Alligator mississippiensis: one gene and its partners. The protein of the gene in region 2 purifies or fractionates together with the protein of the main gene of each other region. This does not show direct contact. Links are inferred from orthologs where the notes say so. Each region holds a gene or a part of one and is shown on either strand. Other genes may lie near its edges.

Evidence for each region.
Region 1: the proteins of SSRP1 (region 2) and TONSL purify together in Homo sapiens (affinity purification with mass spectrometry; 5 studies listed by BioGRID and IntAct, counting the BioPlex papers as one, with this or other methods). This does not show direct contact. The link is inferred for Alligator mississippiensis from reciprocal best matches to the Homo sapiens genes SSRP1 and TONSL.
Region 3: the proteins of SSRP1 (region 2) and CHD1 purify together in Homo sapiens (affinity purification with mass spectrometry; 3 studies listed by BioGRID and IntAct, with this or other methods). This does not show direct contact. The link is inferred for Alligator mississippiensis from reciprocal best matches to the Homo sapiens genes SSRP1 and CHD1.
Region 4: the proteins of SSRP1 (region 2) and MMS22L purify together in Homo sapiens (affinity purification with mass spectrometry; 3 studies listed by BioGRID and IntAct, counting the BioPlex papers as one, with this or other methods). This does not show direct contact. The link is inferred for Alligator mississippiensis from reciprocal best matches to the Homo sapiens genes SSRP1 and MMS22L.

Annotation. Positions count from the first base shown.
Region 1 is NC_081826.1:1,588,095-1,595,018, forward strand, and holds the start of TONSL (tonsoku-like protein), read right to left. Parts: upstream 3,055-6,924; 5' UTR 2,982-3,054; coding exon 2,957-2,981; intron 2,523-2,956; coding exon 2,427-2,522; intron 2,099-2,426; coding exon 1,956-2,098; intron 1,861-1,955; coding exon 1,677-1,860; intron 1,338-1,676; coding exon 1,172-1,337; intron 1-1,171. UniProt on the Homo sapiens protein: Component of the MMS22L-TONSL complex, a complex that promotes homologous recombination-mediated repair of double-strand breaks (DSBs) at stalled or collapsed replication forks.
Region 2 is NC_081825.1:172,856,976-172,864,367, reverse strand, and holds the start of SSRP1 (FACT complex subunit SSRP1), read right to left. Parts: upstream 3,060-7,392; 5' UTR 2,986-3,059; intron 2,805-2,985; 5' UTR 2,665-2,804; coding exon 2,611-2,664; intron 1,519-2,610; coding exon 1,333-1,518; intron 525-1,332; coding exon 419-524; intron 123-418; coding exon 1-122. Other genes in the region: P2RX3 (P2X purinoceptor 3), read left to right, coding at 4,773-4,912. UniProt on the Homo sapiens protein: Component of the FACT complex, a general chromatin factor that acts to reorganize nucleosomes. The FACT complex is involved in multiple processes that require DNA as a template such as mRNA elongation, DNA replication and DNA repair.
Region 3 is NC_081826.1:236,838,379-236,845,801, reverse strand, and holds the start of CHD1 (chromodomain-helicase-DNA-binding protein 1), read right to left. Parts: upstream 3,082-7,423; 5' UTR 2,581-3,081; intron 1,745-2,580; 5' UTR 1,576-1,744; coding exon 1,523-1,575; intron 1-1,522. UniProt on the Homo sapiens protein: ATP-dependent chromatin-remodeling factor which functions as substrate recognition component of the transcription regulatory histone acetylation (HAT) complex SAGA. Regulates polymerase II transcription.
Region 4 is NC_081824.1:83,345,702-83,353,679, forward strand, and holds the start of MMS22L (protein MMS22-like), read right to left. Parts: upstream 3,019-7,978; 5' UTR 2,926-3,018; intron 1-2,925. UniProt on the Homo sapiens protein: Component of the MMS22L-TONSL complex, a complex that promotes homologous recombination-mediated repair of double-strand breaks (DSBs) at stalled or collapsed replication forks.

The DNA of each region.
Region 1 (6,924 bases), on a different chromosome or scaffold from region 2:
CAGCCCAGCCCCATCCCCAGCCTGGGATGCAGCACCCAGCGCCTCTGGGGGAGGGTTAAAACCCCCCCGACACATGGAGCAGGAAGGTGGGAGAGGCAACCAGAGTATTGCTGCACTTTTGGGCTCCATGTTTTAAAAAGGCTGTGGAGAAGTGAGAAAGGGTCCAGAAGCGGCCACAACAATCCCTACAGCAGAGCACGGGCATCGCTGCGCCTAGATCACGCCCCACCAGTGCCTGTCCAAGCCTCTCCTGCACACCTCCAGCGACGCAGTCCCCCCTTCCCAGGAGTCTCTCGCGTGGCCCCTGCTCTGACTGAGAAGAGTTTCCTGATCTCTGATCTGAATGGATTTTGCTGCAACTTCAAGCCGTGGCTCTGTGCCCTCCTCTCTGCAGCCAGAGACAAGAGAGGGGACGCTCCTTCTCTGGCCGCCCATCAGGTGTTTGCAGGCTGCTGTCGTGGCCCCTCGAAAACGCTTTTTCCATAAGCTGAATCTGCCCGGCTCCTCCAGCCTCTCCTCGTGTGACTTCCCTTCCAAGCCCTTGATCGTTTGGTGGCCACCTCTGGCGCCTCTCACTTCTTCACTGCCTTTTTAAAACGTGGAGCCCAACGCTGCATGCAGCTGCCCCGGGCGCACGGGCACGACTCTCCACATTCACGTGCACATGCACACCCCACAGCCACCACCCCCTCCCTTATGCCACAACTACCAGCCCCCTCCTCCAGCAGCTCAGCAGCCAGGTGGGCAGGCAGCAGCAGCAGCAGCAGAATAGGACTTGGGCCCCTGGTACATGTTACATTTATCACGCATTTAACTGGTGAACTGTGCAATAAACACAGACCAGTCACAGGTGCAAAGCAACGAGAGCAGAGTAAAACGCCTCTTCTGCTATAAAAAGAGCCAGGCAGCTATCAAGTGCGTGCCTGAAAGCGTGCGACAGCTCTAAAGCCGGTTTCGCCCCAGCTTTCACTTGTACGTGTAGCAGGGCCAAGGCAACTCCCGCGCCAGCCGGCCGGGGACAGCAGCACCCAGATTAGACTGCAGCGCCCACAGCAAGGGGCTCCCCGCTCCACCTGGCTCGCACACCCCGGGAAGGGAGCCAGGCCCCAGGAGGAGAGGGCGGGGGAAGCTGCCACAAGCCCCAGGAAGGGGGCAGGTGCTTGGTTCTTACTCTGAGATGAAGATGCTCTTCCTGATGTACTGGCTGCACTGGCCCTGGTCCTTCAGGCTGTCGTAGACCAGCCCCAGGTTGAGATAGAGCCGTGCCCGCATCTCGCTCCGCTCCCGCGGCGGCACCTCCCCTGCGGCACATGCGAGCTGGCCCGTTACCGCGTTACCTGGTGGGGAGCGGCACGCGGGGCGCCTGGGCAGAGCCAGGGCACCAGGGCCAGGAGAGTGGGGTGGGCACAGGCTGGACGACCACGTCCCACAGGGTGGTTCTGCCCCAGGGAAGGGCCTGGCACGCGGGGCAGGGAAGCCAGGGGAACGGTGCTGATCCTGCCCCACATGGACCCCACAAGCTGACCAGGGCTGTGTATCCCATAAGCCCTTGCTGTCACCCATGGCAGGGCCTGGGCACCATCATCCAGCTGCTATCCTGGGCATAGGGCCGGCTGGGCAGCCCCCGGTGGGGGGGGACAGGACACAGGCCAGTGGAGCAGCCCAGGGGGCCTCACCTTCCAGCCTCTCGTCCACGATGGCCAGGCTCCTCGTGAAGGCCTGCTCGGCCTCCCGCAGCGCCTCGCCCGCCTGGCTGCTGTCGGCGATGAACATGTAGGTGCGGCCGATGGTGGCCCAGGCTCTCTGCTGCTCGGCGTGGTTGGCGAGGGAGCGGGCCAGCTCCAGGTGCTGGCGCTGGTGCTGCGGGACAGGGCGGGAGTCAGCCCAGCCCTCGACGCCCGCTCCCCCTGCTCAGCAGCTCCGCAACCCCCCGCTTCCCGCGGAGCCTGGCCCACCTTGAGCGCCGCGTCGTAGCTCTCCAGCTCGGCCAGGCGCTCCCCGATCTTCCGGTGAGCCACGGCGCAGCCCAGCACGTCCCCCGCGCTCTCCAGCAGGCGCAGCTCCTGCCGGTGCTCCTCCAGCGCCTCGTGGTACCGCCCTGCCGGGAGCGAGGGCAGGTGAGCGGGGGCAGCCCCGGCGGGGAGGCTCGCGGCGGCCCCTCTCCCTGCTGCCGAGGGCAGGACGCGGGAGCTGGAGCCGGGCGAGAGCCCGGGGAGGGGATCCCACGTCCGACGGGGGCGCAGGGCCGCTCCCCCACCCATGCTGCCACGCGGCGCGCCCGGCACGGCCCGCTACGATGCGCGGGGCAGCACGGACGGGGCTGGGGTCGGACTAACCCCGCGTCCGACCTACCGGGCACGCGAGCTCCGCCCCTCGCCCTGAGACCCCAGGGGCCCTCCCCTGCTGCTGCCCCCCCCCGCACTCACCATGTCGGGCCAGCGCCTCCCCCAGCTGGTTGCAGACGGCAGCTTCCTCCTGGGGGCGCCCCCCGCGCCGCGCCCGCGCCTGCGCCTTCTGCAGCTCTGGGGGCGCAGCGGGGGGTCAGCGCCGGGCCCCGGGGGCACCAGGCCTTGCTGACCCCCCTCTGCCTGGCACTGCACCCCTGGGCTGGGCCCCGCCCCCTCCAGCCCAGGCCCCGCCCCCTTCCCTTGTACCCCTCCCCTTGCCTGATCCCCCCTCTTGGTGTCGACCCCGCCTTTTGACCAGGCCCCGCCCCCTTGCGCTCGACCCCCTTGCCTGAGTCCCCTCTTGGTGTCCAGACTCCGCCCCCTCCTTCAAGGCCTCGCCCCCTTAGTATCTAGACCCCGCCCCTCCTGCCCAAGCCCCGCCCCTTAGCTTCCAGACCAGCCCCCCCGTTTACCGGCACCCCTCTCCGTGCCAGAGCCCCGCCCCTCGGTGTCCAGACCCCGGCCCTCGCGTAGCCCCCCGGCCGCCCCCGCCGGGCCCGGGCACTCACGCCGGATCTCCCGCTCGCCGCTCATGCCGCCGCCGCTCTACGCTCTCCCGCGCTGCCTCCGGGGCAGCCCTCGCCACCCGCCCATTGGCCGCGCGCGGGGCAGCCCCGCATCCTCATAGGCGAGCGCCGCCGCCACTCAAATCCCGCTGGGCCAATCGCAGCCGAGTTCGCACCCGGGAAGGGAGGGAAAGAACGCCCGTCCTCATTGGCCGGGGGAGACTCCGGCTGCAGGACTACGAGTCCCGGCATGCCGCGCGCCCGCCCCGCCGGCACCCTCATAGGCCACTCAACCCCGCCGCGACGTCTCCTTCTCCCTGGCCTCCAGCGGCGGCTGGAAGCGTCCCGGCATGCTGCGCGGCGCTGCCGGAAGCGGATGGAACACTGAAGTGGGGCGCCATGCTGCCCCACGAGGTCCATTGGAGCCCTCGAGGATCCCCGTCACGGTTCTCCTGCTCGCCGCCACCCGGCCCTTGTTTCTCCTCCTGCCCGGTTTGCAGCCCCCGTGCCCGGGGTCCCGGGACCGCAGACCCCTCCCTGGGCCTGACGGAGGGCGGCCGCGCCCGGATGCCTGCCCGCTGAGACTCCAACGACTGGACGGCAGGAACGGCCCCGCGCTCCTGGGACCGCCCGAAGCAACACGACCGCTCGCCCCGGCTCCCGCTCGGCTGCTCCGAGGCACCCCCGGCCTCGCTGACCCACCTGTGATAGCGGCGACCGCTGCGGCGCCTGCCTTCCAGCGCCCGGGCCAAGGGCCCCCTGCAAGCGACCGAGTCGGCACGCCCCGCTGCGGGGCACTGGGCTGGCGCCATCGAGCCGTGCAAATGATAAACCTCCGGAGCGATGGCGGGGTTTTGTGCACGTCAGGTTCACCCGCAGCCACCACGATGGATCCCACCGGCCGGCGTTGACCACAGGACGGTGACGCTGCCACCTTTGTCCAGACCTTGCCCTTCAACCCATCGTGAAAACTAGGCTGTGACGAAACGGTTTAGAGCAAGACAGCTGCCAGCAAGCGGGCGCGGCGCAGGGGAAGCCGTCCTGCTCCCAGGCGCTGGTGCGGGATCCTGCGAGACCCGCTCCCGGCCTGCACGGGGTGAAGATCTCTGCGGCGGCGATCGTACGAGGGCTGACGTCTCGCTTGATATTGGGAAAGAGTCTTAGTTTTGGAGCTTGTTGGCAGTTGTTAAAACAAGCCTTTCTGCTAGTCGTCAGCCGAGCATTGTGTCACTTCATAAGACACCAGGTTAAACGTTCGGTTTCTAAGTGGAACTGCGTCTCCCCCCGGCTTCTCGGTGCAGCAGCACTTTGGGGGCTCGCTGTCCTGTCCGCTCCCCGAGACCAGGCCGATGCTTCTCCCCTCGCTGGGCTTTCCCCCACGTCCTCTGGCTCTTTACCTGCGGCTGCTGCTGGGCTTCAGTCTCCATCCCCGGTGCCCCTAGTTGAAAGCCGGGTGAGGGTCCGGCTGCACTTCTCCCTGCAGCTCATGTGTCTGAGTCTGGGACCTCCTGTCACCCTGTCTGGGCTCCAGCCAAGGTCTCCGGAGCAAGGCGGTGCAGGCCGGGGCCACCGGGGTGACCTGCGTGGCTCCAAGCAGAGCTTGTGGGCAGCATCCACCGGCTCCACTGCCTCCACGGGGCAGTGAGTGCTGGCCAGAGCTCCCTCCTTGCCCTGGGTTCATCACTCGTGCCCTGTGCTCTGGTCCTTTCCCCCTCCATTGCTGACTGGGACGCCTCAGTTGTGCCTGCCTCTCCCTCCAGAAATCCTTCCACCTTATAAGGCTTTGTCCATTTTAGTCGCACCAACTTCCTGTGTTTCCCTCCCAGCTGCCAGGTCCCACGGCACCTTGAAGCCACCAGCGGTGGGTGGGGGACGCTGGTGGAGTGCAGCGGATACGGGTGCACGGATGAAGATTTTCTTGGCTGATAGCTGATGGTTAACCAGCCACGTCGGTAGATGCCGATCTGGTGACTGGTGTCTAGTAAGAGTGCAAGGCAGTTTAACATAAATCTTTTCTGGGGGTTTGTTTTTTGAGTTTGTTTTGCAAATCTTTGTTTTGACTCAAATCTTTTTTTGGGTGTGTTTTGCATTTATCTCACACGCACACTTTTTTCCTGCAAAAATAACTATATGTATATAACTCCACCTCCAACACTGCCAAGTGGCCACTTGGCAGCTCAAAGCACACTAAAATCCCATTACACAGTTCACTCCGTGCACCCATACCCATACCCACACCCACTTCCCTCCTGAGAGGGTCTGCTCCTGAAAAAGTCAGTGCCAGACCCCTCCACCAGATCAGCTCTGACACTTCCTTCCTGTCGTCCTCTTTCATCTGCTGGTAGTACCAGTACATTTCACCGAGTCCCATTTTAATGCAGTCCTCGACTGCGGGGTCTGGGTGTCTGTCTGTGAGCAGGTTCCTGGCTTTCCACAGGGCAGACCTGAAGCAGGAGATGAGCTGGTCGAGGGTGCTGTCGCAGCCCCTTGCTGCTTGCTGGTAGAGAACCACTTCCCTTGTCAGGTCTCTGATCCCTGTCACCAGCGGGAGGAGCGCACGGACTTTCCTTCACACCTCTGCGGCGTGTGGGCAGTCCCAGACATTGGCGATGCGTAGGGGGTGCACACGGGTGAACAAGCAGCCCCTGAGATTGGCCGTGCACCCCTGGAAGCGCCAGCCGTGAAAATGGAAGTGTCCTTCCTTTTTCGCCGGTGGTGGTTCCCCAGAGTAGGGAGGCACCAGTTGCCCGTGGTCCCAGAACAGGTGGTTGATCCTTTCTGCCTGTCTCAGGCAGTTCAATGGACCTCTCTGCCCTGCGCTGTGTCTCCGTGCCCGCACGGGGGCAACAGGTCCTCGATCTTACCCAGAACTAAGCAGGTGCTCTTGCTCACGTTGAGCTTGGCCCCTGCTGCTGCTCTGTATACTTGGGTACGTTGTAGTGCTCGTTCCACTGACCCTTTGTCCCTGCACGTGATGTCCAGGTCATCCATGTACAGGAGGACTTTTGTCTCCTCCCCATTTCTCCCAGGGATTTTCACTCCCTTGATCCTGCCTGAGTCGTGCTAATGGTCCTATTACACAAATAAAGGGATCGGGGAGAGCAGGCAGCCCTGCCTGATGCCCGGCTCTACCACAACGGGGGCTGTCGGGGACCCGTTCACCAGGACCCTGCTGCTCATCGCTGGTGCACAGTGCTTTAATCCAGGTAACAAAGGTTGCAAGGACTCCCATCTTTTCCAGTGTCTCTAGTAGGAAGCGATGGGATACCCGGTCGTAGGCCTTCTCCAAGTCGAGGTTCAGCACAGCCACGCTCTGTCCCTCTCCCGCTAGTACTGGAGCGCGTCACGCTGCTGCACCAGGGCATCGTGGATCTGTCGCCCTGGCACTGCGCACGCCTGGTCCTCGTGGACCACTGCACCTACAACAGACTTAAAGTGCTCAGCCAAGACTTGGGCAATTAGTTTGTAATCAAAGTTCAGGAGTGTAATTGGGTGCCAGTCTCTCAAGTCCCACCTCTCCTGCTTCTTGTACAGAAGGGTTATGAGGCCTCCCTCCATCCCCGCTCCCAGGTGGCCCTCCCGCAAGCACTCCCTATAGACCTCCAGCAGGTCTGGACCTGTCTGGTCCCAGAAAGCAACACAGAAGTCTTTGGGCAAGTCGTCTGTGCCCAGAGCCTTATTGTTCTGGAAGCTGCAGAGCATTGCATTTATCTCCTCCAGCCTCCGCTCCCTCACCAGCCTCTGTCCCTCGTCCTTCCCAAGGACCTGCGTGAGCCTTTCCAGTCAGTCTTGCATTGCCCCGGGGTCCTCCGGTCGTGCCACGTAGAGCTCTCGGTAGAAAGCTGCCGTCGTCTCCAGCATCCCCTCGTTCAACTGGTGCTCCACTCCGGTTCTGTCTACCAGGCTGGTCTTTGCGTCTTTCTTGGTTTCCTTTATTTTGCTAAAATAAGCAGGCCACTCCTCCCCATCCT
Region 2 (7,392 bases):
AGCATCGTCATTTTGATGGAACTCCAACGTCACTTCATTCTTGCCCGTTGTACACTGTGACACATTGCTGAGAGGGATCTCAAACACTGGCTGCTCCCCAATGTCAAAGGAGAGAAGCTGGCCTGCACAGAGCAGTGGAAACCAAATAGATTGGCAGGAGTCACCAGACTGCCCCACACGGTGGGGGATCCCAGCCAGTGCCCTTTCATGAGCAGGTTCACCTTTCGTTGATCTTTTCTACTCAACCATGGCCAAAAGCAAAATGCCTCTGCACAAAAGGGCAGAACAGCAGGTTCCTCTCTCTCAGCTTCACTCTTGCCAGCACGCATCATTTGCAGTAGGGCCAAAATAGTTTCACTGCAGCGCCAAAGATGTGCCCCAATTCCACTCCCTCCCATCCAACTTCTCCCCAACTCACCTCCAAACCGCACAGTTCCCCAGTTCCACCCTTTCACACACAGGTCCTTCTCTGCCAGTTCCAGGCGATAGTGCGATTTAAAGAAATCTGAGAGTTTGTCAAACTCCTAAGCGGGAGAGAAAACATAGATGAAAAGTGATTATGAACCTCTGGCTTAAGCCATACCTCTTACCCCAACCCATACCAAAGCACTGGACTTCCTTCCTCTCCGACAGAACAGACTAACGTTAGTACCACAGCAATGCCCCTGGGGTGATGACAAAGCAGCTGAAGGAGACTCTAGCAGGAATACTCATCCAGGAGGTGGCCTGGTTGTAATTTGTAGTGCTTACCAAGAAGCACAGAGCAGACCAGAGGTGGACAAAACGCGGTCCGCAGGCCATTCTATCCGGCCCGCAGAGCCCATAAAAAAAATTCAGAAAATTAATATTTATCTGCCCCTGGCTGCCTGTCATGTGGCCCTCGATAGCTTGCCAAAACTCAGTAAGTGACTCTCCGCCTGAAATAATTGCCCACCCCTGGGGTAGACCCTGCTATTATATTGAAAGGACAGCAGGGAGGAGGTGTTACCAGTACTGAGTCTTTGCTGGACAGTTCATAGGGAGAGACTCAGGTTCAGAAAGCACTGGCAGCTCACACAGAAAAGCTGAGAGCCAAAGGTCACAACAAACTGTATGGTCCAGGAAAAAGATACACAGACGGTAGGAGGAAGGGGTGCATGATTAGAACCCAACAAGATGTAACACTCATGAGGGCATGAGCTGCACGCCTAGCATCCAGCAAGAGGCTAAGAGACCATATGGAGGGGGGAGCATGTGGTCCCCCCTCCACTCTTGAGAAGACAGGAGGTCTCCCCCACAAGGACACCAGCTGCCACCTCTAACCCTGGTCACTATCAAAAGAAAAGGACTCACCGATTCCCTGAAACCATCATACTTGTAGACGTGGCCATTTTTGGTAATCAGTTTGAGACCATGGCCCAGCGCCACACGGCGCCAGACACCCTCCGACAGCTCCGAAGCTTGGATGTTGTCCACTTTGCCTGTCTTGCTGTTCTTGAAGATCACACCTTGGCGACTCAGGCGCAACCGCCCATCATTCTGGCAGGAAGAGACACAGAGGTTGGTGGGCAGGAGCCAGAACCTCCCCCACACAGGCCGTCGCCCATGAGCAAGATATGAACAAAGTGGATAGAGCCAGGGAGCGCTCCCTGAATCACCAGTAGAAGCCAACCATCCTCTTACGTTTGAGCCAAGGAGGCCTCACTACCGCTCCTTTTGAAAATAAGACTGTATGCATCTTGCAGGCCAGATGTAACATACCAGCAACCCCACTCCCTGGGCAAAAGGCACCCCAAAATCAGCCATTCCTCATCCTCCAACAATGACTCCCACAGAAGCTCCATGGTTTAGGACACAACCAACCAAACTGGCACTGTGTGCCCTGCATTCACACCCTGTTTTGGCTTTAAAAACAACCGACCATTTGAGACAAGAACCCTCCTCAGCCGTATTTCACAGGCACGTGAATCAGTTGGGAACATTTACGGGAACTGCAGCCACACATTCAGATGTCCCAGGACTCAGATAAGTTAGCTTATGAACCTTAAATCCCTGCACACGTATGTGGTCAACCAACAAACAGACACACCTCAATCTTAAGTTTCTTGTGCAAGCCAGATCCCATGCTACAATCACCCAAGTCGTGGACCCCTCCCACAACCTCTACAACCCGATTCAAAAGTTTAGGGCAGGAAGTTACGAGTCTTCCCTTCCCCAGATAAAATGCCAGCTGGGAACGCAGGCAGGATTCTGGGGCTACGGCCCCAGTCCCCTGGACAGCCTCAAAGCCCCTTTATTACCCCACAGATGCTAAACCGAACAGGGTCCGATCATGTTGTGCCTCCTCTGATAGTAAGCCAGCCCCAGTCCCAAACGCTGGTGTCAGCATAGACTCCAGGACGCTACCTCCCTCCAGGCAAACAGGGAGAAGGTCCCAAATTTAAGGGCCTGACACAGGGCAAGCCTCCTGAGCCTGAAGCACACCGTAAAAAGGAGACAGGCGAGAAGCTGGGCCACGTGCCCCAGGCCCCTGCAGCAGGTGCCATGCGGTCCCCCCCTCCACTGCACCCTGCAGCTGTCCAGCTCAGCCTGGGGGCAGCCCCGGGGTCCCCCGCCCCCTGCCCCTCTCACCATGGACCCTTTCACTTCCTGGTAGATCTCGTTGAACTCCAGCGTGTCGGCCATGGCAGCTCCTGCCCCCTGCGGCCCGCGCCCAGCTGGCAGGGCAGCGCCTGGGGCGGCGGGACCCGGCGGGGAGGATGCCCAGGGCCGTCAGCACCCCGCTGCAGCCGGCGAGCACCGGGCGTCGGCCGAGCCGGAGGCACCTGGCGGCGAAACGGGAGGGATGAGCCCAGGGCGGCCCCGCGGGGGGGAGGAGGCAGAGCGGGCCGCGCACATCCCACCCCCCACCCGGGGTGCGCGGCACGGGGGGAGGGCACGTGGCCGGGGGGGGGCAATCCCCCTCCGCCCGATCCCCGGCCCTTGCCCCGCGCCTCCCCCGCTCACCGGGGGTCACTTTCCCGCCTGCGCAACACGAACCCCGCGCGAAGCTTCCGCCACCGGAAGATGCCCCCACTTCCGGCCCGGGCGGCCATGGCGACGCCGCAAGCCGCTCTAGGCCGCCAACTCTACCATAGAGCTGTGGGAGGCCTCCGGCAAGAGAGGGCGCGCCGGGGGAGGGCGGGCGCTCGGGAGCATAGAGTGTCCGGAGGCCTGAGGCTAGAGAGGCCGCTTGGCGGCCAAATCCCCTGCGTAGGGCTGGGAGGAGGTGGCGGCTGTGGGGGTGCTGCTGCGGGGTCCGCGGCGCCTGTCGCCATAGAGTCCTGGGAGAGCTCTGGGCAGAGCCCCCCCCACTCCCCCGGGATAATTAAGGCGACCCCCGCCTGGTCAGTGTCCCGGGCTGACGCGTCCTCAACCTCAGGATGGTTCTTGCGTCACAGGGTGGCCACGTGGCGTGGTGACGTCATGACGTCCACCTGTGGCATCACCACTGCCAAGCCCCCCTGCCCACCCCTCTGGCTGTGGGGCCAGCCCCTGGAGAGAAGCAGAGGGGATGCGTGCTCCCCCTCCCCTTGCAGGGTGAAAGCGCCCCGGGGTGTGTCCAGGGGAGCCTTCATGGCCCCTATGAAGTGTGACCAGCACCAACACCTCCAGAGCATGAGCTGCTGTGACCAGGAGGGCCCGGCGCCAACACTATTCTCTACTATCCCACAGCAACACTCGTGTCACCGTCACACTGCATTGCCACCACAGGCTGCCCTTCCGTGTGTGGGTGATTACACCAGGCACCAGCCCTGCTGAAGCAAGGGGCAGTGGAGTGGAGCTCCGTGATACGTTGTGTGCGCTTGCTGGAACCGTCGTTCCCATCACACACTGTGTCCCAGCAGAGCCAACACTCCCGGACGTTCTGCTCAAGGCTCTAACACTCCAACCCACGTGGCTGGCTGGTTGGGAGTTCATTGTGGTGCAAGCACAAAGCCTAGTGGGTAGCATGGCCAATCTGTCCCTGTAGCTGTGACAGAGGACTGGAGGAGGGGGTTGTCAACCTCCAATAATCAGATGAGTCCTTTCCATGCAGTCTCAGCAGAGGGGCTGCAATCAAGGCCTGCATGAGCTCTGGAGGGATAAACACCTCCCTCACCCTTCAAGAAGAAGAGCTAGGCATGTTAAGAGGCATAACACAGGCAAGGCGGGCATCTGGCTTGGTCGCGTGCCTGTTCTGCGGGTAAATGGACCATGTTAGTCTTCAGGGACCATTTTTACCTGCTGCTCACCAGCTGCTGATTTGTCCCCAGAGAGATCTGTATTTGCTTAGCTTCCTCCCCCTTCCTGTTGGCACAGAGTTGGGATGGCAGGGGCAGTTAACTGAGGGTGAGGGACATTAGCACTGCTGGGCAGGGAGAAGCTGCTGAGCTGAGATGCGCTAAGTGGATTCCTCTCTGGAATCATCAGGTGCATTAAGGACCTACTCGCTTGCACACACCAGGGAAGCTGCTTGGCAATGAACAGGCTATGAAGCCCCACCTTTTCCTGCCTCTCCCCACCAGCATCACTGTCCTCTGAGAATGGGGGTGGAGACTGTATAAAGGGGTCTCTCAGCTCCAGCCTGCCCAGAGTAGCAGCAAGGCAGAGGAAGGCTACCATCTGGATCCCAGGTTTAAAGGAGCAGCCCTCCCAAGTAGCTCTGGGAGCATCACCCATCGCTCCACTGATCTCCCATCCCTGCCTTGGTCTCAGCATCCCATCTCGACGGGGCTAGCAGGCATTAGCCAGTTCTTCCCACGCTGTGCCAAATGCCCACGGTCTCTTCCGGGATGAATTGTGTAGCCAACTTCTTCACCTATGAGACCACCAAGTCAGTGGTGGTGAAGAGCTGGACCATCGGTGTGATCAACCGCGCCGTGCAGCTGCTCATTGTCTCATACTTCATTGGGTAAGTGCAAGGAGCTCAGCGCTGGCCTGGCCAGCACCCTGACAACCTGTGACTGGTTCCAGCCTGGAACAGGGTGAACCCCAGAAGATGAGAAGAGTTTCCCTCCAGCAGAGACCTGTCCAGTTGTGATCCCTGCTCCTGAAGGAGAAAGGGCAGGGGGCAGGGACAGGCTAACCCACCCTAACACAGAATCCTTTCTGAGGACACCTCCACAAGCACACATGTGTAAATGGTGGGTGGAAGGGGTACTTGCTGGGCAGGGTGGAATATGATTGACTCACCCCCCACCTGCAGTGAGTTCCCATCCTTCCCAACCCCCACCCTTCCCCAGCCTGGGAACAGCCAGACAGCTCTACACAGGGGAAGAGGGTGGCCTTAGCAACTCCAGAGTCCCCTCTACCCAGAGCTGTCCTGGGACTCTATGTTGACAAGCATATATGAGCTCCCAAGGAGTGAGAGGCATTTAGGTGAACTGAGATGGTGTGGAGCTAAGCATCCAGAGCAGGAGGGTGAGATTCAGGATTGGAGGGGAGAGAGAAGATAAAGGGATGATGACAAGCAGGAGCACAAGGCTGTGCAGACGAGCGGGGCTGGAAAGTGAACTCTAGGCAGACACAACCAGAAAGGAGGCTGAGGCAGGTGCCTAGGGTGAAGAATTTACATCACACACAGCCCAGGGTTCCCTGGGACCTTCTTGGCATTGACATCAGAGAGGGGGTTGCAAGGGCAGGACTGTGGGATTAAGTGTCCAGGCTCCCACTGCTCCAACTCAGAGTGCCAAGCACTGTCTCGTCTGGCCATGGAGACTCAACTATCCCCTGGCTCCACCAGTGTTCTGAATCGACATGCATGATATGTTTGTGCATAAATGCATGCGTGTGTAGTCAAGTATGTGTGTATGCATGTAGGGGGGTTGTATGGAGAAACCATGGGTTCAGGCTCATTTACCCTGTCCTAATTCCCGCAAACACCCCCCATCAACCCTTAAGGGGGAATGTGCAAACCCAGCCACTGTGTTCACCGCCATGGTGGCAGAGTCTGTCATGGGGACCAGCAAGAATGCCTCAGAGTGAATGGGTGGTGGAAGTCTCTGCATGGATGTGTCCAGAGGCAATGGCTGTGGGTGGGAAGGAGTGGTGAGAAGATCACACATGTATGGGATGGGGTGAGACACAGTGACTGTGAAAAGGGTGCCAGTGTGTGTTCCTGCGCAAATATGAAAGGCATAAGCGGAGGGAGAAAAAACTATTTGGGGGTGCTGAGCATGCATGTACCCCCCCCCCAGTAAGTAAGTCTATGGGGGAAGGGGTGGGGAGAGGGTAAAGGGCTGTGGGGAGCAGATCGAGGCCCCCATGGTGAGGGAGTGGGGCACGGGCAGGGTATGGGGCTGGGGTGAATGGGGCCCCAGCCAGGCCAGGTTGTGGGACAGTCAGCCCAGGCAGCTCATCCAAGGGTGAGGGGGGCTCCCACCACTATGCACACCCTGGCAGAGGTGGTTGCTGCTATGGACTGGGCTTTGCTCCCTGCTGCCACTGCCTCCAAGCCACACAAATCCACGTGTGTCCTGCCACTGGGCGGGCAGGAGGTAGGGCGCAGCCCAGCAGCAGCAGGCATGTGGCATTGCGCTGCTCCCAGGGCAGGTGCAGCAGGGTATAATGCACAGTGTGCAGTGGCAGCCACCTCCACCCCACACACAGACTGGGGAGGAGCCGCCCAGGCTTTGATTCTCCCACCACCTGGCCCAGCCAGGGCCCCATTCACCCTATCCCTGCCCCTGCCTGTGCCCCACTCCCTCCCTCAGCACTGGGGCCTCGATCTGCCCCCCAACACAGCCCTTTCCCCTTCACCAAATTGACTGGTACTTGCCTGCCATGCTGGGCAGCCAGTGATCCACAGGCCGAGCTGCGATTCTGGCTGCATGTGTGCCTCTTCCCACCCCTGCTACAGCCACCTGAAGCCCACGGCTGGGCTGCCTTGTAGCCCTACCCACTAACCTGCGTTTGAGGGGGCTGAGCCCTGTTAGTGCCAGTCTTCTGCTGCCTATGGTGAAAGGGGTAACCACATGGAGGAGGCGGAAGTGTTTGCATGAGTTTAGGGGGTGACCACATGGAGGAGGTGAACGTGTTTACATGAGTGTAGGAGTGACAACAGTATGGGTGTAAGTGTGTGTAGGTGCCTTTGCAAACCTCAGATGGGTGGATGGATGCATGTGAATCTTGGGGTGACTGTGACCCTGGGAGTAAAGGACTGAAAGAGTGGTGGGTGTGACAATACATGTGTGTTGGGGGGATGGTTACTGTGCAAGAGATGGAAAATGGGGTAGGGGAGTGAGGTGAGGAAAAGAAGACTTTGTGCATCCTAATGTGATGGGTGACAGTGTGATTGGTGGATTGACACTTGTATGTGTGAAAAAGAAGAGGCCATGGGGTGTATGTTAACATGAAGTGTGACCGTGTGGGTTACTGACTGATGTGTGAGTG
Region 3 (7,423 bases), on a different chromosome or scaffold from region 2:
CTAGAGGCCAGCCTCGTTGACAAGTTTTGAGAAAGGGAGAATACAAAGTACAGCTCTGTACATGAGCAGGGTTATGATATCCCGCATAGCTGAAGCTCCCCAAACTTGCTGCTTGCAATAAAGGCACAATATTTACCTAGTCACAAGTAATCTTCAGAAGTTAAAGTGAATCATCATCAAGCACTAAAACAAGAATTGGATTCTTCTGTCATTGCTAAATGATAACTAGAAGTGTCTAGTATAGCAGGAAGTTCTCATTACATAAAATGCATGTTAAGAGATTTACCGTACAAAATAAACTGTGATCTTCCACACCCCCAACCACAGAATTCTCTCTCTGTGTTTTAAGCAGAACTCATGGAGTTTCTTTAAGTAATAAAAAGCCGCTGTCCTTTTCAAGCACGGATGTAGAGCACCACATTTAAAATTCTAGCCAAGTGTGCCTGGGCATTTTGAGTGTGGTGGCAGAGGATCTTAAATTGCCTAGTGAAAGTTAAAACTAATGAACTAAAAACCCGAATAATGAAGAGTTAACATCCCACTGAAAGAGAAGCAGTTCACATCACCATAACAACAATTTCAATCTCAAGATCATATTTTTTACTAGCTTCTCCCCTGTGCAATTCACCCTCTTTTGGGCGACTTGTGCTCTACAAAAAGGCAGCAAAAATCCAGAGATGCCAGTTTTAACCCAAGGATCAACTGTCCTACCTCAGTTTATTAAAACCAAAAAACAGCCTAAGATTATGAAGGCCGATCTGTTGTTCTGGTCTGGAAAAACAACTGCAGTTATCTATCATACTAAAAAAAAACTTCCCTTACAGCAAGGGGAGGTTCTTCTAAAAAGACAGCTACATAGATCTTTAAAATCCATAACAAAGTTTGAAGACTAGGGATTTTTAAAATCATATGATCTTTTCTGTGCCTATTGACTTAAAAATAACATAAAAATAAGGGCCATACATTTTCTAACTGTAAGAAATGCATTTCAAGCAGGTTGTGTCAAACTTATGGTGAAGCCCAAAGTTTTCATATTTCAGGGCAGGAGGAACTAAAAAGTCCTAAAGATCAACATCCTCTTGCAGAATTAAAGTTTGTTTTAATTAGTATTTTACACTCCTATGAACTGACACACAGCTTGCCATTTCCAATACCTGATTCTATTCAGCATACTGGAAGCAGAAATAAAACCTGATCTTATAAACAACAAAACGCTTCTCATAGAGCTTTGTTTTCTCAATTTGAAAAAAAAACTATTTTTCACAGTTACTATACAGCACTGCGCTTAAAGAATGCCAGATACACTATTTCAAACAACAGAAGATAAGTAAAAACTCACAGTTTAACCATAAGCTAACAAAACTGACATCAAGGTGCTAAAGCGACAATCATGATGCAGGAACCTACTAGGCTGGGTGCTCTGCCCAAACCATTGTAGTCTGAATTATTCTGAGAACAATTATTCTAATAAAATATGATACAACTGGATAGCAAAGAAAACCCTGAAATGGCATGGACTTACCTTGATTCTCCGCTGCTGTTTCTTGCACTTTCTTCATCACTGTGCCCATTCATTGTAAATACTCAGAAGTTTAAAATATAAGTCCAAACACTTTAAAAGTCAGGTATTAAAAAGTCCACTTTCTAAGCTTCTTCCTTGTAGCCCACGTGCGTCTTCCAAGGTAGCTTGTTTGCTTGCCTGCTCACTGCAGGGACCAGAGATAGTTTTTTTTTCTCACGCTACCTGAAACAGAGGTGGATATCATAAGGTTAACACGACTTGAAGCGTTCCATGACCCCCGCCTCCCTCACGCCACCCCCAAGGATATGGAAGAGGCTGGCCTGTCACACAAACTCTTCGATTTGGACACGTCGCTCAACGGTCCCGTTCCCATTTAAAAGCGCTTCTCCATGTGAAAGGCCTCAACAAAGAGCGCCTGCCTGCGCGCCCCACTCTGAAACCTGAATCGAAGTTTACAGCCCAGGAGGCATTGCGCAAAATACTTTGGGGTGAGGGGCTGTGCAGTGACAGGGGCCTCGTGGCTTTGAGAGGATGCTTACAGGGGCCAGGTAAAGGCCAGCGAGGGGGGGTTTCAGCTCTCCTTAAAAAAATACCCCAGCGTGGGGGGGGCGGACGCAGATGCGGCGCTTCATGGCGCAGCTTGAGATGCATAAGTTTTGCTGCAGCCCCGCAAGGAGGGCGACCAAGGCATCCTCCTCCCAGGCCGCGAGCAGGCGGGGGGCCGCACCCAGGGGCGCCGAGGTGCCGCGGCCGGCCGGCCGGGCGGGAGCGGCCCACGCCGCGCACCCAGTTCGGCCCGGAACAAAGGAGATGGCGGCGGCGGCAGAAGCTCGCCAGGAGCCTGCCATCGTGTCCGGCCGCGCTGCCGCGGCCCCTGCAGCTGCCGGCCCCGCTGCCCGCTGCCGCCCCCTCGGCAAGGGGGGCCCGACCCGCCGCCTCCCTCCCGGCGCGGCCTGCATCGGCCCGGGCTCCGCGCCCTCCCTCCCCAGCAGGGCCAGAGCCAGAGCTAGAGCCAGGGCCAGGGCCAGGGCCAGGGCCAGAGCCAGAGCCGCTCCTACCTGCGCGGGCCGGGCCCGCACGATCCCTGCGGAGGAGGGAGGAGGGGGAGCGCGGCCGCTGCTGGTGCTGGGGCCGCCGCCGCGGGGCCTGCGCCGCTTCGCCGCCGCCCGCCGGGAACAATGAGCCGCGCGCCGGGCACGGGCCGCCGGCAACACGGGCCGCCGCCGCCACTCCTCAGGTCCTGCCGGCCGCCGCCATCACGCTGCTCCTGCCGCCGCTCCGTTCCGCTCCGCTCAGCCGCCTCCTCCTCCTCCCTCCCGCGGTCGGGTGGAAACCCCGGGCGTGATGTCAGCCTGCGCCTAGGGACGGACTGAGCGGCCGGGGCGGAGCCAAGCGTAGCAGAGCCAGGCCGTGCAGGTCCCGGGGCAGCTCGGCCTCAGCCGGGCCCGGGGGGAGGAGGGTGCGGGCGACCCCGGGCGCCCAGCCTGTCCCCCGGCGCCTTGCGGCTGCGCACGGCGGGGAAAGGCTCCGGCAACCGCGAGCGAGAAGGCCCCGCGCCGCCTTCCCCGGGCCCAGGCCTGTGGGCACCTCCGTGCAGCCCACAGACGCCGGCTGATCCTTGTGGTCAGGCTGGGCCTCCAACTCATGTGGCCCGGCCCAGGGGCCTGCTGCCCCCCAGCGCACGCCGGCCTAGCAAGGACTGCGCCGCGCGATGGGGCGGGGCCGGGCCGGGCCGGGCCGGGGCGCTGGCCGCGTGTTGTGCCCGCTCCGGCCCTGCTGGGAGCCGCGCTGCACGTGGTGCCTTCCCTGGGGCAGCTGCGGTGGCGCCACGCGTGGCCTGGGCCGGCCAGGGCGGGTGCCACATGTGCCCTAGGGGACAATTCCCAGCACCAGGGGCTGGACAGCAGGGCTCTGAAAGGTGGATTTGACCCACAGGCCATATATTTGACACCCCCCATTTTATTTTAAAGGAACAAGAAGTTTCATGGGGGGAATCAGCAAGATATGTGGAATCGCAGGTTGGTTAGGAAATCGGGGAGGGGGGCTGTAGCAGGCGCTGTGGGGCTCAACCCAGCAAAACCTGACAGCACTTTTGCACCCCATCACCTCCAAACCCTCCTCCTTGGGGAGGAGAGATGCCTTCCTGTCTGCTAGTTCTCCCCCCCCCCCCTTCCTGCTCACACACGGCATTATATGTGAGGATACTTCACCTGCCTTGCACAAATTGCCAGATATTTACTGACCGAACCAGATAGCAGGCCTAGCAGCTGCTTTCCCAGGAGGTCAAGCATGAAGCAAGCAAGAACTATTCACCTCCATGGTAACAAAGGAGAAAAGGTCTCAGGACCTTCAGTATTGATAACCTGGAAAGGCAACAGGCTGGAGAGTCTGGTGTGATGCTTTGGTGGTGTGATGCTTTGGTGGTGTGATGTTTTGTTGGGACTCAAGGGTATCAAGAACAGCAGCAGCCAGGTGCCAAGGAACCTCTCAGATTCCCGAATCTACGGAGCCAGCTATCACCTATCAGTAGTTACTTACCTACCAGGTTGGACTGCCAAACCGCCCTGCCCTGACTGCTTACTCCAGGCAGCGAGGAGTGAAACCACCACCACGCTGGCAGTCTGGACTCCCAACCATTGCTCTGCAGAAGGCAAGAGCAGAACCTCGCACCGGGCATTTCTGATTGGCTGTGGTGGCAGCTCCATCATAATCAGGTTCCACTGTGGAAACAAAGACCCAGGCAGGGGCTTGCCTCACCCTAGTTACATCAGCATCTTAAGAGAAAAAAGAAAGACTTTTGCTCTTGGCCTTCTCCTCCCTTCCACACATTGAAACAAAATAGACCAACTTAAAGGCCTGGCACCTGAAGACATAGGTGAAGACATTTTTGGGGTGGAAAATAATAGTAATAGTCTTCCGAAAAGAGCATAAGAGTGATTCAGAGTTTAGAAAACCTCTTTGCAGAACACGTAAAAGTGGTTGGAGGGCAACTTAATCAAGTTAAAGGTACCTTCATAGGGCAAAGATTTGAAAGAGGGCTTTTTAGCCTAGCAGACAGACTCAACAAGAGCCAGTGGCTGGAAATAAGATTGTTTTGCAGTGAGGGTGACTTCTGTATGAAACAGCCTTCCTAGGGACATGGTGGCTTTTCATCAGTTGAAGTCTAAGTCAAGACTAGATGGCTTTCTAAAAGATACTATTTTTGTTCAACCAGAATTATAAGCTACAGGAGTTATTGGATGATATTACAACTGCTGTAGCATGCAGGAGTTCAAACAAGATGATCAGAATGACTGTTGATCCCTTAAAATTATATTATTAATTGATTTTTTTAAGTGTAGTTTATGAAGGTTGAGAGTTGACTAGATGCCGGGGATATCTGGGTTACAGAGAACAGCCAGATGATATAACCTAGAAAGTGGTTTCCAGTGGACAATAGGAATCAGCTTTTCCCCTTGAAACCAGTTGCAAAATGCTTATGGACTTCAGTGTTGGAATATCAAACTTGAAATTAAAAATTATCCCTACAAAGCAGATGTGACCCATAAGAGGCAGGAATTGTTTTGTTACAAATGCATCTACCATTACATGCAAGCAGTGGAAAGCAATAATAATAATAATAAAGATATCCTCTGAGGAGAAATTGAGTTCAAGTCTTAAAGCAACCACTTGTTACATTGTGCCTAGTTCAAAGATGGGTCAAAACTGCCCAGGAAGGAAAAATGGGTAACAAAAAGAAGAAAGTATGCTCCAATTACTGTAACTATAGAATACAGTTGACTAATACTAAGTATCCAGAAATCAAATGCTAATAAAGATACCAAATGTTACTGGAACACACTCTTCTGCATTCACCTCCTTGGCTTCTAAACATTCCTTACAAACCCCTAATTACTCAAAATGAAAGCACTTTATTTCCCCAAAAATCAGTTTGTTTGTTTTCTCGAATTATTTGTTCTCTCCAAAGAAGGTAATTAAAAGTCTTTCCAAATGATGCTTAAAGATGCTGAGTAAATCTATATATTGCCAGTAATATCTTTAAAATCCTTGAATAAAGTGGTATGGAGGAAATGGAAGTAAGGCAGCATCCCCCAGATAAAATGATTAGTTATTTTAGCAGTTGTCACAAGCATATCTACTGAAGATGTACTCTAAATGTTCCCAAAATCAAGACCATAATGTTGTTCCTATTCTATAAGGTATCACATACTAAAGGAAAAGTTAAAAAGGCATGATATAGCCAAGGTTTAGTTTAAGTCATTAACATATTTATTTACATGCACAGACTGCACAAATTACATGCACACTTGTACACCTAACTCAATTTGTTTTAAGGTCTAACCTTGAAGTAATTCAATTTAACACTTCTCACAGGTCAAAGACAATTTTATGTTGGCTTACTTTGTTTAGATTTGGCATCTTTAAGACGGTAAAATCTAGATATTTACTTTTGATATTTTTAATTGTTTAAATGCTGTGGAATTTGGGGAAAAGAATACTTCAAATAATACCTTCCCCTGGACTAAACAAGGTTTAGTATTATCCTCTCTTACTTTTTCCTTTTGTTTTTCCTTTGAAAAAGTATTGTCTCCTTATCTCCACTTTCCTACTTCTACCATCAGTTACCATCAGTTACCACTAGTCCTATTGTGTGGTGAGTGGAAGTTTAACTGGAAATCCCACCCACGCTCCCCAAAGAAAAAAAAAAAGAAACAAGGTTAATATCAAAGTGTAGTTTCATTTACTGCAAGAGAGGAGTGGAAAAAGAGCAAGTCCTCCCTTGCTGAATTTCTCATCTGTCCAGGCCCGCAGTTTTTTTTTTTTGTTTCCAAATTTGTTAAATAAAGTAGTGTAAAACCTGCATAGAAGACATGCTTATCTTACTGCAACAGTTCATGCCCCTTTCAGGGGAAGTTCTGCCTCAGGACTACCCAAGATATAACCTTGTTTGGTCTACCTCCCAGAAGGACTTCTTGTAGCCAGCCCTGGAATGGCTTCACAAGGGGCAAGCCTCTGACTTTGAGATCCTGGTTCTTCTTTGTTCCTCACTGGTTTCTAGGTTACATTATCTGCTTGTTCTCTTTAAGAGAGAAAGAGAAGAATTTGGTTTGGCTTTAATTTTAAACAGTTCTGATGACTTTAGAGTGATCTGCAGTTGAGCTTGAAACACAGTAACACCAGGGAAAGGTAAGAACCAGACAGCTTTGGGCTACACAAGGACCTTCTTAGCTACCTTTTATCAAATGAGGCAGTGAAAGGAATGGTGAGTCACTAAGGAAGTGTAACAAGAAATAGTAAAGACAAAGACACGTAGGGACAGAAAAAAATACTACTTGCAAGGAAGGTTAAAGAGCTCAAGCAGCTCTACAAATAGATTAGGGAGAAAAGAATGACTCCATTTCTATGGTCAATTAATAAAATTAAAGAAGATACAAAGGAAAAAAATAGAGCTGCCATAGTATACACAAAAATATAAACTACAATCAACCCTCTGACAAAATGAATATAAACAGACTGAAAGGACTCAGGTTATAAGTAAAAAGCACAGCAGTGATTTTTTTAACAGCTTTCAATTAATTTAAATCAGCAAGTCATCCCAGTATGCTGAAGAAAACAGTTGAAAAAAAATGTTGGATACATTGGCAATACTTCTCAGCCTTTCGCTTCAGATCAAGTGAAGTCACAGTTAATATGCAAGGTCCTAGAGGACTGGAGAAGAGCTGATGGATTGCCCATCTTTGAAAACACAGGGAAGAAGAAACAGATCTAGGGCATTATATCAGTTAACCTGGTTCAAACTGGAGAAATGTGGGCAAGAGAGAGTTACTGTTAAGCTACAAAATTGGTTCAACTGGTGTAAGCAAAGTGCAGTTTTAAATGGATGGATGGCAGGAAGTCTCA
Region 4 (7,978 bases), on a different chromosome or scaffold from region 2:
AATTGCATAATTTGCTTAATGGACACATCAGTCCACATGTATTGCTATTTATACATACTGTAACAAAACTTTGGTCCACTGCATATTAGTTTCAGGCCTACTGGTTAGCATGCAATTTAATTGTACTGGGTTACCTCCATCCTAATTGTAACAGCCAGCCACAGAGCAACTGATTAGAAAATAAACTACAGAAGAGACACTGAAGGGAAGGCAGCTGCTGAAGGGCTGCTATCAGAAGCCTCGAAAACGATGGGAGCTAGTCACCTGCAGGGTTGCTACTTCCCTGATTTTCAAAGCTGTCAGCATCAGCTCTTGTGTTTCAAGGTATTTAACAGCAACCTCAAACCTAGCCATTAGAACCTATGAAAATGATAGAAGTTAGTTTGGGGACTGTTAATACCACAGCACTGATAGAGCTGTAATCTCTACTCAGTGGGCACGTCTATACGTGCCACTATGGTGCTGTTGTTACTGCACCATCATTTAGTACTTGGAAGTACTAAAAGACGGTGCAGTAACAGCCAGTAACGCGCTGTGCACACAGCTATTTTTAGGCACTACAGGCAGTCCTCAACTTACGTTTCTAGTTGCAATGTTTTGCGCTTACAACATTTATAAATTGACACCCTGTTTCAACTTCCTGACATCAGTTTTGACTTTATAACACTTGATCTGACATCACACCACACCAACAAACAAGTTCGCTGCATCACCCATCTCCCTGGAGAGTGTCTGTCCAAACTTCCTTGGACACTTCCTTTAAGAAAGCAGACAGAACTCCAGAAAAACCTGCAGCCAAGACTCCTGAGAAGACTCCAGCCCAGAATGCTTCAAAAAGTCCAACCAAGAGCCCTTCAAAAGGTCCAGCAAAGTCACCTCAAACAAGTCCTTCCAAATCAATATGATTGCTATTTACATTATTGTAGCTATATTACTCATCAATAACTGACTGAGTACAAAATTCTGGGTTATTTTTGGTGAAAATAGGGTATTGGGCCTTGGTTCAGGAACCAATCCCTCATTTATAATACTGTTTCCTATGGGAAAATTGGTTCCAAGTTACAACGTTTTGACTTAAGACATGGTTTTCAGGAATCAATTGTGTCATAAGTCTGAGGACTGCCTGTACATTGCTGTAGCGATGCACTACAACAGGGACATGCTTACCCGTTATAGTGTGTCACTACAGCAACGTGGCTGCTGTGTCATGGATTTTGCCCTTGGGACACTACAGTGATGTAGCATCACATGTAGATGCGCCCAATAAGTACAGTTTTCCCTTGATTTATGCTGTACATGTGTTCCCAGAGAACGGCACATAAATCGAATTTGCATGAAGTGAACCCACTTTGCAATGTAATAAATAGGGATAGGTTCCCATGGTGGTAAGGGAAGGAGTGAGGCTGGGACTAAAGAAGGAGTAGGGGAAGGGTGCCATTCCCAGGGCTACACAAGGCAGCAAAGCAAAGGGAAGGGAGTGGCACTCACCCTAGCCCCAGCTGCAGTGGCCCCGGGACCAGCTGACTGCACCATGTTCCGCTGGGCTGCACCATGTTCCGCCTGCCCCACTCACCTCTGCTCCTGGGCTGCACCATGCCCTGGTACAGGCAGCTGGTGTTGGCTGCTCCCGGGGCCGCTGCAGCTGGGGCTGGGGTGAGTGCTGCGCCCCACACCGCCCGGGGCTCTGCTTGTCCACACTCATCCCAGCCGGTGCTAGAGCAGCCCTGGGAGCAGACGACACCAGCTGCCTGCACCACAGCATGGCACAGCACAGCCCAGGAGCTGGGGTGAGCCCAGGCAGAGGGAGACAGGTGGAGCTTGGTGCAGCTCAGTGGTTGCAGGCAGCTGGCGCCAGCCACACTTGGTAGGGGGGTCCATCTATGCTGATCACATAAGAGCAAATTTACCTCCCGTATAACCAATTATGGGTCTAAATATGGTCATCGCATTCCATCCAGGAAGAGCACACACCAACTGCTGAAACTTCCTTAGCCTGACGAAGGGTTTTTGAACCCAAAAGCTTGCTCAATAACTATTCTCCAACCATTTGGGTTGGTCTAATAAAAGATATCAAATTCACCCACGGAACCCTGTCTGCCATCGCATAAGAACAAATTCACATATAAAGAACCCACATAAATCGAGGGAAACCTGTACACAGCACTATCAGTGTTGCACTGTTAAAGTCCCCAAACTAACTCATTCTCCACATTTTCAGGAAAATCCTAACAGCCTTTATTCAGTCCTGAGGCCACACACTTAAGCAAAGGACACTTCACTAAGCAGAGGAAAACATGGCTGTTCCCGACAGGCTGATTTCTGACATGGCCCAAGGCAAGGCAAAGCTTTACCCTCAAGCCTCCTTGTCCCTGGGACGGCGCCCGTCGAGACAGGCTACCAGAACCGCAACACACCGCGGCTAGAAAGTCATCCTCCAACCCCCAAATACCAATTTCTTTAGGAAGGAAAGGTGGGATTCCCGCGCGCTGGAAACACAGGCTGCGGGTGCTTGACCAGGAAAGCACCTGTTCGTGCGCGGCTTCCCCAAGGACCTGCGGCCAGCTCCGGTGCTGCGCATAAGCCGTGTGTTCTGGGTACAGCACACCCCACCACAGGGAGGTGCAGACAGGTGCTGGGGCACCCCGGGGTGTCTCCAGCTCCTTACAGGGGGCTCGCCGGGCCCCTGGGTGGGCAGACGGTACTCAAAGGAGAAGCCACTTCAGGCAGGGGAGACCCTTGCTGTGGCCTTCCCCAGCCCCCTGCAGCACCAGCCAGCTCCAGTCTCCAGGGATAAGGGGGAGCTCGGGGGGAGGGGGGGGGGGAAGCGGCCGGCCCAGGGGCCCCGCGGCCACAGCCCAGGGTGTATGGGGGGAGGGGCGCGGCCAGGACCCCGGGGCGGGGGCGCAGGCGCGGAGCGGGCCGTACCTGCCGGTCTCCGCACGTCCTCCCAGCACCCGGTGCTTCCCGACCCTTCTGTCCGTCCCGCGCGCTCTGAGAAGGCCTACTGCGCATGAGCGCGGGGCTCCGATTGGCTCAGGCTCCTTTGCCACCCCTTCCGTCTTGGCGTTGCCTGGGCCCCGCCCCGCGACCGCGTGCGGCACCGCCCCCAGCCGCAGCCCCTGTGTATGGGCACCGCCCCCCACCCCCAAATGTCCCTGTCGGCAGGACACCGCATCTCCTTCTGCAGCTCCTACTCTCTCCGCTCCCAACGGGCATCAGCCAGCGTGAACGAGGGGGCCTGGCACCCCTTTCTTTCCGTGTGTGCGCGCGCACACGCACACTCCAGCCTGACAGCTTACACACACACTCTCCAGCTAGTGTGGACGCCAGGGCCTGGCACAGACCCTCCCCCACTCCAACCTGACACCCCCCTACACCCCAGCCCTACACCCCAGCTAGTGTGGACGCAGGGGCCCGACACCCCTATACACACACACACACCCCAGCTAGTGTGGACGTGGGGCCCTGACCCTCCGCCCCACGCTGCAGCCCGTGTGGACGCGGGGGCCTGACCCGCACCGGGACCCACTCCCACTAAGAGGCCCGCGGAGGAGCCCATGAAGAGACGGGCGCGTGGCGGGGGGAACACCCCGTGGGTCCTGCCGGGGCCAGGATCCGGCCCCCAGGGAGCAGCGTGGGAGCGGGGAGCGGGCGCTGCCCCTCCGGGAGCCGCTCCCCGGCGCCGCTGCCTGGGAGCAGCGCCTGAAACTTTCAAACCAGGCAGAAACGTTCCTCTACAGAAAGCAAAGGAAAAGTTGTGGTGTCGTGAGCCGGAAGAGCCCCTCCGCCCCCTCTGCTGACTGCAAAGAAAAACTCTTCTGTTTGTATAACACCCCCCCCCTTCTAATTAAAAAAGCAGCACATCACGGCTAACTAAAACTGTGTCCGGGATAACCCTGATTTCCATATGCAGATTTATCTACACTGACAGCCCCCTCTCCCTCCCCCTCGGTCTCTGTGTTTCCCTCGGTCTTGCTCTTTCTATTTGCATTGTGTCTGCCTGATTTTTCTGACTCCTCTTTTTCTTGCTTTCTCTCTCTCCCTGTTGCACGCACAGGCTGAAATAACTCGACGAAACCGCGAGACGGTTGCTGCAGTCACTGTCTTTTAGGAGAGGTTGTGGGGGATCCAGGAAACCTCATTGCTAAACCGCCTCATCCTTTCCAGCCCGGCTCGGGGATCCAACTTCCCCAGGTTGGGTGGGGATGAAAAAGGATCTGGACAGACGTGGGAGGGGAGAGCACTTTGCAACAGCTGCAACCAGCGGTGCTCATTGCCAGATGTGCGGGGGTGGGGGGGGGGGTTAGCATGAAAAGGCAGCACGGGAAAAATATTAGGAGACAAAAGCGGCAACCTCAAGGATCATTTGCTTTAGTTAATATGGCAGCAGGCGCCGGGTGTGGGGGAAGATCAACATGCTGCCTGCTCAGCCGGACTCCTCTCCCCGCGAGGATGAAAGGAGGTGATCCCGTGCCAGAGGGACCCGAGGTAAGAAACCTGCTTCTCCTTCCTGGGTTTTAGAAAGTCTATTTCTAAAGTGCTCTTTTGAAACAGCTTGTCTGCTCAGTTTCAACTCACTGGCAGGCAAAACAGAGATTTATCTATTTTTAAAAGAAAAAAAAGTTAAAGCACAAGGTATTGGTAGTCGATTCAAAACGATTACTTTGGCCATTATATCCATTCTATTTTTTCCCATACCTTCTTTGTATCGAAAATGGACTTTAATAGTGACATCATGGGTGACTGCTGATGCTAAAACTGATTATCAAAAGTCTTAAAACCAACCCCCCCCAAACTTTGCAATAAAAAAAATGAACTACAGCTTCATGTTGTGCATTTTTCTATTGCATCTTAAATATTAGACCTCTTATTAAAATGATATTGGGGGTTTCTATTTAGCATGGAAGCAGTGAATGCTGCAATAATTAAGTACAGTGTTTAATTTGGCTGTTGTGAAGCAAAAGAATAAGGTAATAATTTTTATTGTACTAATCAGACTCAAGATGTTCTCTGTGTTAATTGGGTTAAAAAATTGCAGTACTTATTAGAAATTCTAATTTCACAATGCAGCACTGACAATAAGCTCAGCCAGTGAATTATTCACATCTTTAATTTGCTCACTTAATGACAGTGTTCTGTAATCAGAGTGCAGAGACTGCTTCCTATGCATTATGTATGATGTTCAGGACTTAAATGCAGGACATTATGAAGCCTCTCAGTAGCTCAGTAATTAGTTTTCCACAAGACAGGACTTAGATATTCACAGATAAAAGTCTAGAGTTGAGATAATGTTAAGGTTGAAACTCAGACTGAAAAAAAAAGCAGGGAAATTCAAAAATAACACTGCAACTATGTTCTCATCCATTGTGCCTCGGTGTCAAGGGGGTGTTTTAAAGTTAGCACGTGATGGTACTACAATATGTGCTGTGATACTTACCTACCAGAGAGCAACTGTTTGATTTAACTTGTTTCTTTTAACAGCTTTTGGTTGTTTGTGGCTGACAGTCCCACCACCCCTTCAGTTCAGTATAATGTTATTTTAAATACATAACAAAGACTTGTTTTTATTTATTTAAAGGAGGCAGTTATGAACACATCAGCCAGCAACCACTTGTAGGAAAATATAATAATGATTAATTATATTTTAAAGAATTTCTTAATAGTTGATGTTGAGCCCAGAACTTTATAATTTCTATCAAGCTATTCTGGTTTTTAAATTGTAACTAGTTTGCTGTGTATGCTAACTTTGGGAACACTTACTACTTACCACAGGGCTGTTAAGACTTTTTTAGTCTATAGTGAATAGGATATACATACGTTGAAATGTATGCTGATTTTGAAAATTATACTTTTATTCACTTTTAAAATATACCAATTTTAGAAATGCTGTTGTGGATAAAATACAAATCCTTTTTTTCTTGTTAGCACTGACCTGGTATTATAGTGTTTTAACTGAAGGGAGCATACATGATTTTGTCGTATCCCACTTTTCTCGACTACTGCAAAATAGGATGAGGAAAGTTGAGAAAAAGTTAAATATTTTTTTTCATATTCCAGCACTGGTTAGATGGGCTACTGTACATTTGTACAGTAATGCAATGCAATGTGGCTGTACTCTGCCATGTCCCTACGTTTAACAATGTGGGCCTTTCTCCCCAAATGGTACTTGTGCAGATTTTCATTAAAACACAACCGTTACTGGGCAAGTTTCTTATCCCTACATCAGTATCCCACTTGAAGTTGAGAATTTTAGTTTCAAAGCTATTTAATTTGTATCCCTAAATAGATATCTTTATGTATTCCATAAAGATATCTATATGGATTAGGCTTTGCAGGATTCATCCCTTAATTTAAAAAAATTAGCTGCCATGTCAAGTCTAAGCATTTTTTAAAAATCAGAAATAGAGTCAGGCCTAAGAACTACATCTAGAATATTAAAATACAATATGGACATGTTAGTTTCTCTTTTAATTCCCCAAATTCAGTGCCATCAACAGCTAAAAAGTTTGCTGAGTTGTTTTAGGACCTGATCCTGGAATAAACTGACCTAAGCCAATTGCTTATAGTTGCCTATAGTCTTAGATGAGGGCTGTCTAAGTGACCCGTGATTGGTTAAGTCATGTCTGATGGGGCTAGAACTTCTGCAGTGTGGGGAGCAATGGTGGTGTTAACCCCTATACCTGCCAGAACCACTGTGTTGGCAGGCCCAGCAGTTAAGGTGTTAATGCTGCTGCCATTTGCCCCACCACAGAATTTCCTGTTTAAGATCTGGGTTGGGGAAGCCTTTCAATGGTGGCAGGGCACAGTAGCTTAACTAGGGGTGGGCAAGAGGGGCGCCTGCCCTGGATGCCAAGTTAAGAGGGGTGCTTGAATCACACCCCCACCCCTATGGAGACCATGCCCCAGCAGTATATCCATGCCAAGAACTCCAAAATGGTCCCCAGCTGCTGCTGCTTTGAAAGCAACAGCCAGGTTGGGCAGAGCACTCTGCAACTCAGTTAGGGACTGTTTAGGAGTTCCCAGAATGAGTAAGACTGCTGTCCCCCATCTCAGAACCACATCCCCCTCCCCCAGTCTCAGAACCTAGGTGCCCCTCTGCTGCTGTTTGAACCGTACACCCTGCAAACTCTTGGAATTGTGCATCTTGCCTGCCCCCAGTCTCAGAACCCATGTCCCATTCCCTGCGCCACCCCCCTGCTATTAGAGCTGTACACCTCCCCCTCAACTCTCAGATCTGTGTAGTCTGCCTGTCCCCACTCCCAAAACCATGTGTTCCCCTACCCCACTCTCAAAACCCTCATCCTTCTTGCTCTTAGAACCCTTGCACACATCTCCTCATCTCTCCTTCAGCGTTCTCCCTAGACATCAACTGTGCTTGTTATACCACAGGCACAGCAAGTGACAACATTATTAACCCCATGGGTTCTGGTAGCCCTGCCATCAAATTTCCAGGTCGAGATTGTTGATGGGGATGCCTTTTGGTGACCGAGCAAGTGATGGGGCACAGCCAGAATGTGAGGGTTAATGATGGTATTGCTGGCTCCAGTGGCAGAGATGGGGTTATCAGGCTCAGGAGAAATGCAGTGGTCCAGATCTGGCCTGCCAACCCAAATGATAGCTCTGATCTCAGACCAAATCCTGAAGAATGAAGCTCCAGATTGATTCATAGGTATTATAACTCACATACTTACATCAGAATGTGAAGGCTTGTGTACTTGGGGAAATCATCCAGACGTGCTGTCTAGGATAGCAGTATACACAGAGAGGTATACTGGCAAAGCTGACAGCATTCTTATATAATTGCATCTTAAGCAGTGACCTGGCCACAAGTTCATTCAATTAATTGTGTGATAAAAGCAGGAATAAGGAACAAAGTAATCACACAAAATACATCTAATAATATTGGTGTTGGTTTCTATCACATCTTTAATTGAACGTGTGGCCAGTGCTCCCAGCCTCTAGTGAACTCTGTCAGCTG